Canis lupus familiaris: one gene and its partner. The main gene of each other region encodes a partner of the protein of the gene in region 2 in a complex. Links are inferred from orthologs where the notes say so. Each region holds a gene or a part of one and is shown on either strand. Other genes may lie near its edges. The genes, in order: EXOSC10 and DIS3L.

Region 1 (3,815 bases), on a different chromosome or scaffold from region 2:
CTTCTGTAAACACCATGTGGAAGCAGCCACCGGGCCTCATGCCCACCCCGAGCACTTCCTACCCCGCTCCCTGCGGAAGCACCATCTGGGGGAATGTACATCACGGGTCCCTGACCCTATCCCCCAGGAAGAGGCCAGCGCACGGGGCGGGGGCTGTGCTTCGCCCCTGTCCCGCCGGCACTTTGTGGAACAAACAGAAGGATGTACGAGGCCCGTCCTCCGACAGACACTCCGATGGGCTCAGTCACAAGAAATCGAGTGCTACCTGTTTGCTCCGCTGCCTTCTCCTTGGCAGTTTCTTTAGGTTCTTTGTGTACCTGTACCTGGCTTGCCAGCTTCCAACGGTTGCTGATCTACAATGAAAACAAACAAAACAAAAACACTCCAAAACTCAGCCACCCAGGAATGCTTTATTTTTTTAATGAGGCGATGCCGGGCGTGCTAACCTAGCAGCCACGCACACTCCAAGTCACAGATTCCAAGTCTGAGGACACAAAAAATAAAATCTCATGCTGGCTTTTATAAAATACTGATCAAGAGGACAAAGCACCACAGTATTCCCAGCACAGGGCCGGACACCTTCCTGCTCATCCTCTCATCCAATCCCTTCTATGATCCCGGGAACAAGGCATTATCGTCACCCCCACTTTGAGACGGAAACAGGCTCTGAGAAGCTACGTCTGACGGGACACGGTTAGCAGACGGTAGAGCTGGGCTCCAAGGCAGGACTTCTCAGGGCGAGAGTGCTGCCGGGATACCTCACTTGGCTGCGGTGTTAGAACGCATCTCAGATACGACAGCTGGCGTGGGAAGGTGTGCCTGGGAGCGGGCCACAGCCAGCGGGGGAGAAAGGAGGCAAAAAATCCACTGGACTCCCCACCGCTAAAGACAACAGGCAACAGGCTAACACTAGCGACAGGAGGCCTGTGCGGTTCCGCCTGCGCTTGCTGCCTAAGGAGAGAGCGCCGGGCAGCGGGGGCCAGGCCCACCCGACCCGAGCAGGCACTTCCCGCAGGAAGGCTAACGATTAACACGCGGGCTCCCAGGAACATCTCATGGGGCTCCAGGGAAGGGGTTTCCTTATTCTTGTTCATAATGCTGTTAAAAACAAACCAACAACGGAAGACGGAGTGTTTTAAAACGTAAGCTGTCACCTGTGAGAGCCCTACAGTAACACTCGAACGTCCAGCGGTACGCCCAACACAGAACGCCTACCGCACGTAGGCTAAACTTCAATTAAAAGCCAAACGCAAAAACCAAAGGCCCGTTCAGGTTCCCAAATGCTTCTGAAAATCAGAATAAGGTTCTGGCCCCCCTCTCTCAAAACATTATCGGGACACCCGGGTGGCTCAGCGGTTGAGCAACCACCTTTGGCCCAGGCCATGATCCTGGGGTCCCAGGATCGAGTCCCGCGTCGGGCTCCCTGCAGGGAGCCTGCTTCTCCCTCGACCTGTGTCTGTGCGTCTCCCTGTGTCTCTCATGAACGAATAAAATCTTTAAAGTAAAAAAAGAAACATTGCTTATATATGTCTCTCTATATTTATACATGAAGTGTCCTTTGTATTCCTTTTCAGGAGGTTCAGGATGGGCTTAACAGAGACCTGGTTCAGATAATTAAGGAGTCCCCCCGTCTTAGAAAGTCCCTCTCGGAAAGGGTGACAAATCCACTTACTTCATAGATTTTTGACGAAGGATCAAACTTTGCTGCCTGAGAAACGTGAGCACGGTGTTCGAGGGAAGGCAGGAACTGGAGGAATGGAAGGAAACAGTCACTGAAACGCGCGCAGGCCCCGGACGGGGTTTCCTGTGGGCTGCACGTGGGAGGCCTGGTCCGTGCGTCGGCCCAGGCCACGGCTCCCGGACACCCGAGAGGCGTCCTTGCAGCTTTCGTCTTAGAGGACCCCGACTCTGTCCCAACCCGGACACCAGGCGCAACCGACACGCCGGGCTCAGAAGCTCCCTCTCCAGGACCGCTGGCCTTCCTTTCCGGGCAGGAGGCCCTACGAGCCGCAGAAGGCTGGGCCTACCGTCAGCCCCGGGCGTACACAGCGCTCCCTTACCATCTTAAACGGATTTTCGAAGGACTCCATTATGTTCTGGGCTTTCTTCTGTGCAACTGTTAATGGGCTCTTCCCGCTCTCTTCAGCACTGGGTTCCTGCAGGGACGGGCAGAAAAGGACCAACTTATCACCGCGACCGCTGTGTGGCTTCACGACGCAAGCCGCAGAATCCTCGTGGCGGCAGCAGAACAACCGCTACTCTTCGGGCCTCTCACACGTAGGGGGCCCTCTAGCAGCGTGGGCCAGCACGCAGGAGGGCGTCTTAACACATTTATTGAACCAGCGAATTCTCAGGGTGCCCTTATAACATATGAGGTATGTGGTATTATTCTCCCCACCTTACAGATGAGGAAACTGAGGCACAGTGTGGTTATGTCTTGCAGAGCCTGAGAGCTAACGGGGCAGGATGAAGACTGAAACCGGGTCTGGGTGGCTCTAGAACTTGAGGTTGTAAGCAGACACTTGCAAATTAAAAATCAGAAACCATTATGGGGAATCAGTAAAATCAGGCAACCGGGTGTTGCTTCCAACTGGGTTCAGAACGTGCTTTCCTTCTGCTTTCTCCGTGGCGACAGTCCCGCCACACAGCACAGGACACCCAAGCACAGCGCGCCCATGCTCACGCAGCCCAAAGCTCATGCTTGTATCTTTAGGGGCCGAGTCACCTCGTTGGCCCAGTTAAAGCTCGCGGACTGCTCTGCTCAGGAATAACCGAAGCAAGACCCAATCTAAATGTATGTGATAAGTGGGGAAAAAAAGTTAACTCTCGGGTAGTACATTTGCAGGTGGCATTTTGCCTTTCTGGCTTTGGCCCCGCGCTCTGGCACGATGGACCAGCTGTGACCTGTGATCCTGGAACCTACTGAACCACCAGCTGTTTCTCCCATGAACACGTGCTAAGCTGGATACTCGTCTTTATCCATACAGATCGTATGCTTGCTTCTCTTTCTTTCCAGAAATTGTGATTTTTCCTTTAGCACATCTGTTGTTTGCACTATTCAGAGTTTTATCTGTGCATTTTCCTTTCAAGCTGGTCATTTTAGTATCCACCCATCTTGACCAACAACTGCACCCTGGTCCTCCTCTTGTAAGGAGCCCGTAGTTCAAGCCCTGGCAGAAACAAGACAGACACCCGCTGGGTAGGACAGACTGGGACAGGCTCCGTCACCACCCGCTGCCGAGTGCAGGAGCACGGCTGGGCCCAGGTTGGCCACACGCGCTCCCGGACCAGACGGGGCCACTGTCTACCATGACGCAGCCCCTCTTTGGGATGGGAAACACATTTCTACCCACGTGCTGGTGCCTTCGTATCTTGCTCTTCACTGTCCCTACTCAGCCGCGCTGTACAGAAATGCTTTTCAAAGCCTCCTCTTTTTCAGCCTGAGCACGTGTAGGAGGCGCTGACTTGTGTCATTAAGGGACGCGCAGCCCCGTTGAGCAGGGGCTGAGGATGGGCTGTGCCTTCCCTGCAGCTGGAAGGGAAGGTCCTGCCTCTATGTCACCGCAGCCCACGCCCTCCTCCCGACTAGGCATTAGCCGGCGTCCAGATGTCAACCCTTCTTCGGGGGTTTCTTCTCCTGAGAGAACCCTCCACCCGCCTCTCATGGACCACTGGCAGATCTGTCCCCATGGCTGTTCCCACTGCTGCTGGCTTTTACTTCTGGCGTTAATCTCAAATGCAGATGCAGCAGGCCGGGCAGACACCTGTTTGATAAACCCAGTAACTGCCTACGGGTCTGCGTCACCTCACCGCCA
Region 2 (3,815 bases):
GTTTCCAATTTTTCCTGTATCACCAAATGCCCTTATTCTATGCTGTACAATAATGTAGCCACTAGCAAACAACAGGAATTAAAATACAGAGCAGCTTTTAAGACAAAGATGTAATTACTCTAAAGTGGTGTTGTCAGTAACAGATATGTCAGGTGCAAAAGAGTTCAGAGAGCAGGTATGGTGCCATATTTGTTAAAATAAAGCATCGTCTAGAAGGGTGAATAATGGCTATCTCTGGGTGGTAAGATAATAATTTGATCTTTTATGTTTCTACATTTTGGGAAAAACATCTAACTCATGGTTAAATCTCCTAAACCCACATTAAGTGACTTCATAATATTTATAAATGTATTGAGAGCTAGACAAGAAACTTTACAGTTTTTCATGTTATCTCAATGGTTAGAATAATGCTAGAATTTAATTCACTAGAATATATGGTACTTTTTTCTACCATACAAAAAAGCTGATATATTCTCTTAGGAAAAGAGATGATGGATAAGAGAATTTAAAATCCCTTCTTACTCGGTTTCTGTTGTTGATATGTCTGCATAATTCCTCAAGATCTTTGTTGCTTAACAAATTGTCCTTAATTTCCATTTTCTTATCTTTTGAAATGGCTGCCATTAATAATCGGTGTACTACGATATCTGAATATCTTCTTATTGGAGATGTAAAGTGGGTATATTTATCTAATGCAAGGCCTTCAAAAAGAAACCAAAAGATGGAAATCAACAAAAAAATACACTTTTTTAAACAACCTGCTCAAGGTTATGGCCACACAAAAGAAAATGCTATCATTCACCATAATGATGGAACTCTTCCTCCGCACATGACCCCGTGGAGAAATACAGTGCATTAGACATGGCCTGTGTGGCCATGGATCGCAGCAACCTGTTTACAATGGGATCGTTGGGGTCATTTGCATTATCCAGAGAATCAGCCAGTGTTTTATTGGACCTGACAAAAAAAAAAAAAAAAAAGAAAAGAAAAACAGGAAAATATTAGTCCCCAGCAACAATTTGCAAGTCAATGCGCTCAGAGGGAAATCTTTCACTCATCACTCTGAAGAAATTTTATTTTGGATATGTTTTAGAAGCAACTCTTTTCAACTACAGAAATCTAGTTTGCTTTTGAGATTTAAACAAAGTAAGTGGGGGCGCCTGGGTGGCTCAGTGGTTGAGCAGCTGCCTCTGGCTCAGGTCGTGATCCTGGGGTCCAGGGATTGAGTTCTGCATTGGGCTCCCTGCAGGGAGTGTCTCTGTGTGTCTCTCATGAATACATAAATAAAAATCTTAAAAAAAAAAAAAACAACAACGAAGAATCTTTATACACCTAACAGCATAGCTTTGAAATAAATAAATAAAATCTTAAAAAAAAAATAAAGTGTATCAATTTAAATACATTTCTGAAGTATGTACTGATACCTATGTGGTTAACATCCAGCATATAGTAGGTGGTCAAATACTTGAAATAAAGTATTGAAATAAATAGGATTACTTGGTGTTTGCCTGTAGGGTTATGAATTTAAACCAAGGGAAACAGGTTCCTTACTTCTGCATTACAAATTGTAGGAGATCAAAACTATGCCTAAATAAACTCACTTTAATTTTAATCTCTATACCTACATTATGGTAAATGAAGAGAGCCAAGAAGCTTTCTATTTTTGGTCAAAGATCTGACTGTCACATTTTAAGAACTACTGCAAGATAAATAAGTGTGCAGCACTCCTGCCATTGCTCTGCCCCCTCAGAGGAGTTACCGTGTATCTATGAAGAAGCCTTTGGCTTTAGCACATTCTCGCAGTTCAGAAAAAAATTCCTGGTGTGGAGGAGGGTGTTGGCGCAGCAAGGCCTGATGAGGGAAGCTTTCCCAGATTTTCCGGGCTACCCAGTGGTTGGCCAGGATCATGCACTCAGCCACGGTCTCATGGACTTCCAGGGGCTGCTTGGGGATGAGGTCATGGATGTTCTTTTTCTCATCCAGCTGAACACGAACCTCTACCCCCTCCAGCTCCAGGGCACCACAACGGTCTCGCTTAGCTCGGATGTGACGCGCTATGTCCGTCAACTTTCCAAGGGCCCACACTAGCTCCTCTAGCTTGGCTTGTCTGCTCTTCGTGTCCAGGTTTTTGAGTTCTGGAATATCCTCAACCACGGTGACGTTTCCATCCAGCAGTTCCTGGGCCGCTTCATAAAACAGTTTGTAGGCTGATCGGATGATGGTTCTGCCGAACCACACGTTCTTAATTTCATAGGAGGTTCTATCCAACTCCCAGATCACACTTACAGCATACCTACAAAACCAGTAATGCTAGCATTATCACTCCATTCTTCCATTTTTGAAGCAAGGAGAACTAGACCCTACATGTGACTTAAAAGAAATGACAATGCTACAGGTTTCTGGACCAATGTCTCAATCCAAACATTCCACTATTTACTACAAAACTATTTAAAATTAGGGATCCCTGGGTGGTTCAGCGGTTTAGCACCACCTCCGGCCCAGGGCGTGGTCCTGGGGTCCCCGGATCGAGTCCCACGTCGGGCTCCCTGCTTGGGGCCTGCTTCTCCCTCTGCCTGTGTCTCTACCTCTCTCTCTCTCTCTCTCTCTCTCTCTCTCTCTGTCTCATGAATAAATAAAATCTTAAAAAAAAAACTATTTAAAATTAAAACCAACTTTAGGTTCTGCTGAGCTCTGAGCAAATCTGAAAGGAGTTCACATGTAATGTCACACAGGCTATCTTACAGTTCTCCTGTTTAGTTAGACTAGCATAGCACTGAGAGAGCCACGTCTGGTGGGCTCTTTAGTAAAGTAGAAGAAAGCAAGCCTTTCAAATCCTATAGAGTAACACTGAATTATCATATCGCTCTCAACGGTAGTTAATTAGCAAAAAAGTGTATTTAGTAAAGAACCACTTTGCCACCAAATCACTGTTTAAAAACATACGCAACATTAGCAACTCGTATAAAAAAACAAAAGGTTAATTTTCCTAATATGTAAAGAGTTCTTATAAATCAATTACAGAAATGGAGAACTCAAAAAAAAATGGGAAAGGAACATGAAATAGTTCACAGAAAAGGATACATACATAAATGACTGTTAAACATACACAAAAATGCTTAACCTTATTCATAAAAGGAAAAATGCAAATTAAAACCACCTAAGTAAGATACCATTTTCATCTCAAATTGGCAAAGATAAAAAATGCAACATGTGTTGGCAAGACTTTTGGAGAAAGCATTCTCACACATTGATGGTGGGACTGTAATTGGTGTAACCCTTATGGAGGACAATTTGATTACATCTATCTAAACACAAATGCATTTATCCTTTGACACAGAAATTCCACTTCTAGGAATTCATCCTCTAAGCATACTATACTTTTAAACATGTGCAATGACCTATGTTCCATGTAATTCGGTGTAGTTTTGTTTGTAATAGCACAAGTCTGAAAATAATCTAAATTTCCATAGACAAGCAACTGTTAACGTGGAATAGTCTCCACACTGTATTGGTTTTTTTTTTTAATTTTTATTTATTTATGATAGTCACAGAGAGAGAGAGAGGCAGAGACACAGGCAGAGGGAGAAGCAGGCTCCATGCACTGGGAGCCCGACGTGGGATTCGATCCCGGGTCTCCAGGATCGCGCCCTGGGCCAAAGGCAGGCGCTAAACCGCTGCGCCACCCAGGGATCCCTCCACACTGTATTGTTAAGAGAAATAAAAAAGCTGCTGAAAGCATGCACGCGCACACACGCATATATATATTATATAAAATGTCACCAGTTGTGTATGAAACAGAGACCATATGTCCATTT

The links.
Region 1: DIS3L (region 2) and EXOSC10 share a complex: the UniProt entries of both Homo sapiens proteins name them as parts of the RNA exosome complex. The link is inferred for Canis lupus familiaris from reciprocal best matches to the Homo sapiens genes DIS3L and EXOSC10.

The regions. Positions count from the first base shown.
Region 1 is NC_049223.1:84,430,570-84,434,384, reverse strand, and holds part of EXOSC10 (exosome component 10), read right to left. Parts: intron 2,157-3,815; coding exon 2,061-2,156; intron 1,748-2,060; coding exon 1,673-1,747; intron 354-1,672; coding exon 266-353; intron 1-265. UniProt on the Homo sapiens protein: Catalytic component of the RNA exosome complex which has 3'->5' exoribonuclease activity and participates in a multitude of cellular RNA processing and degradation events.
Region 2 is NC_049251.1:31,063,140-31,066,954, reverse strand, and holds part of DIS3L (DIS3-like exonuclease 1), read right to left. Parts: intron 2,294-3,815; coding exon 1,760-2,293; intron 958-1,759; coding exon 803-957; intron 702-802; coding exon 523-701; intron 1-522. UniProt on the Homo sapiens protein: Catalytic component of the RNA exosome complex which has 3'->5' exoribonuclease activity and participates in a multitude of cellular RNA processing and degradation events.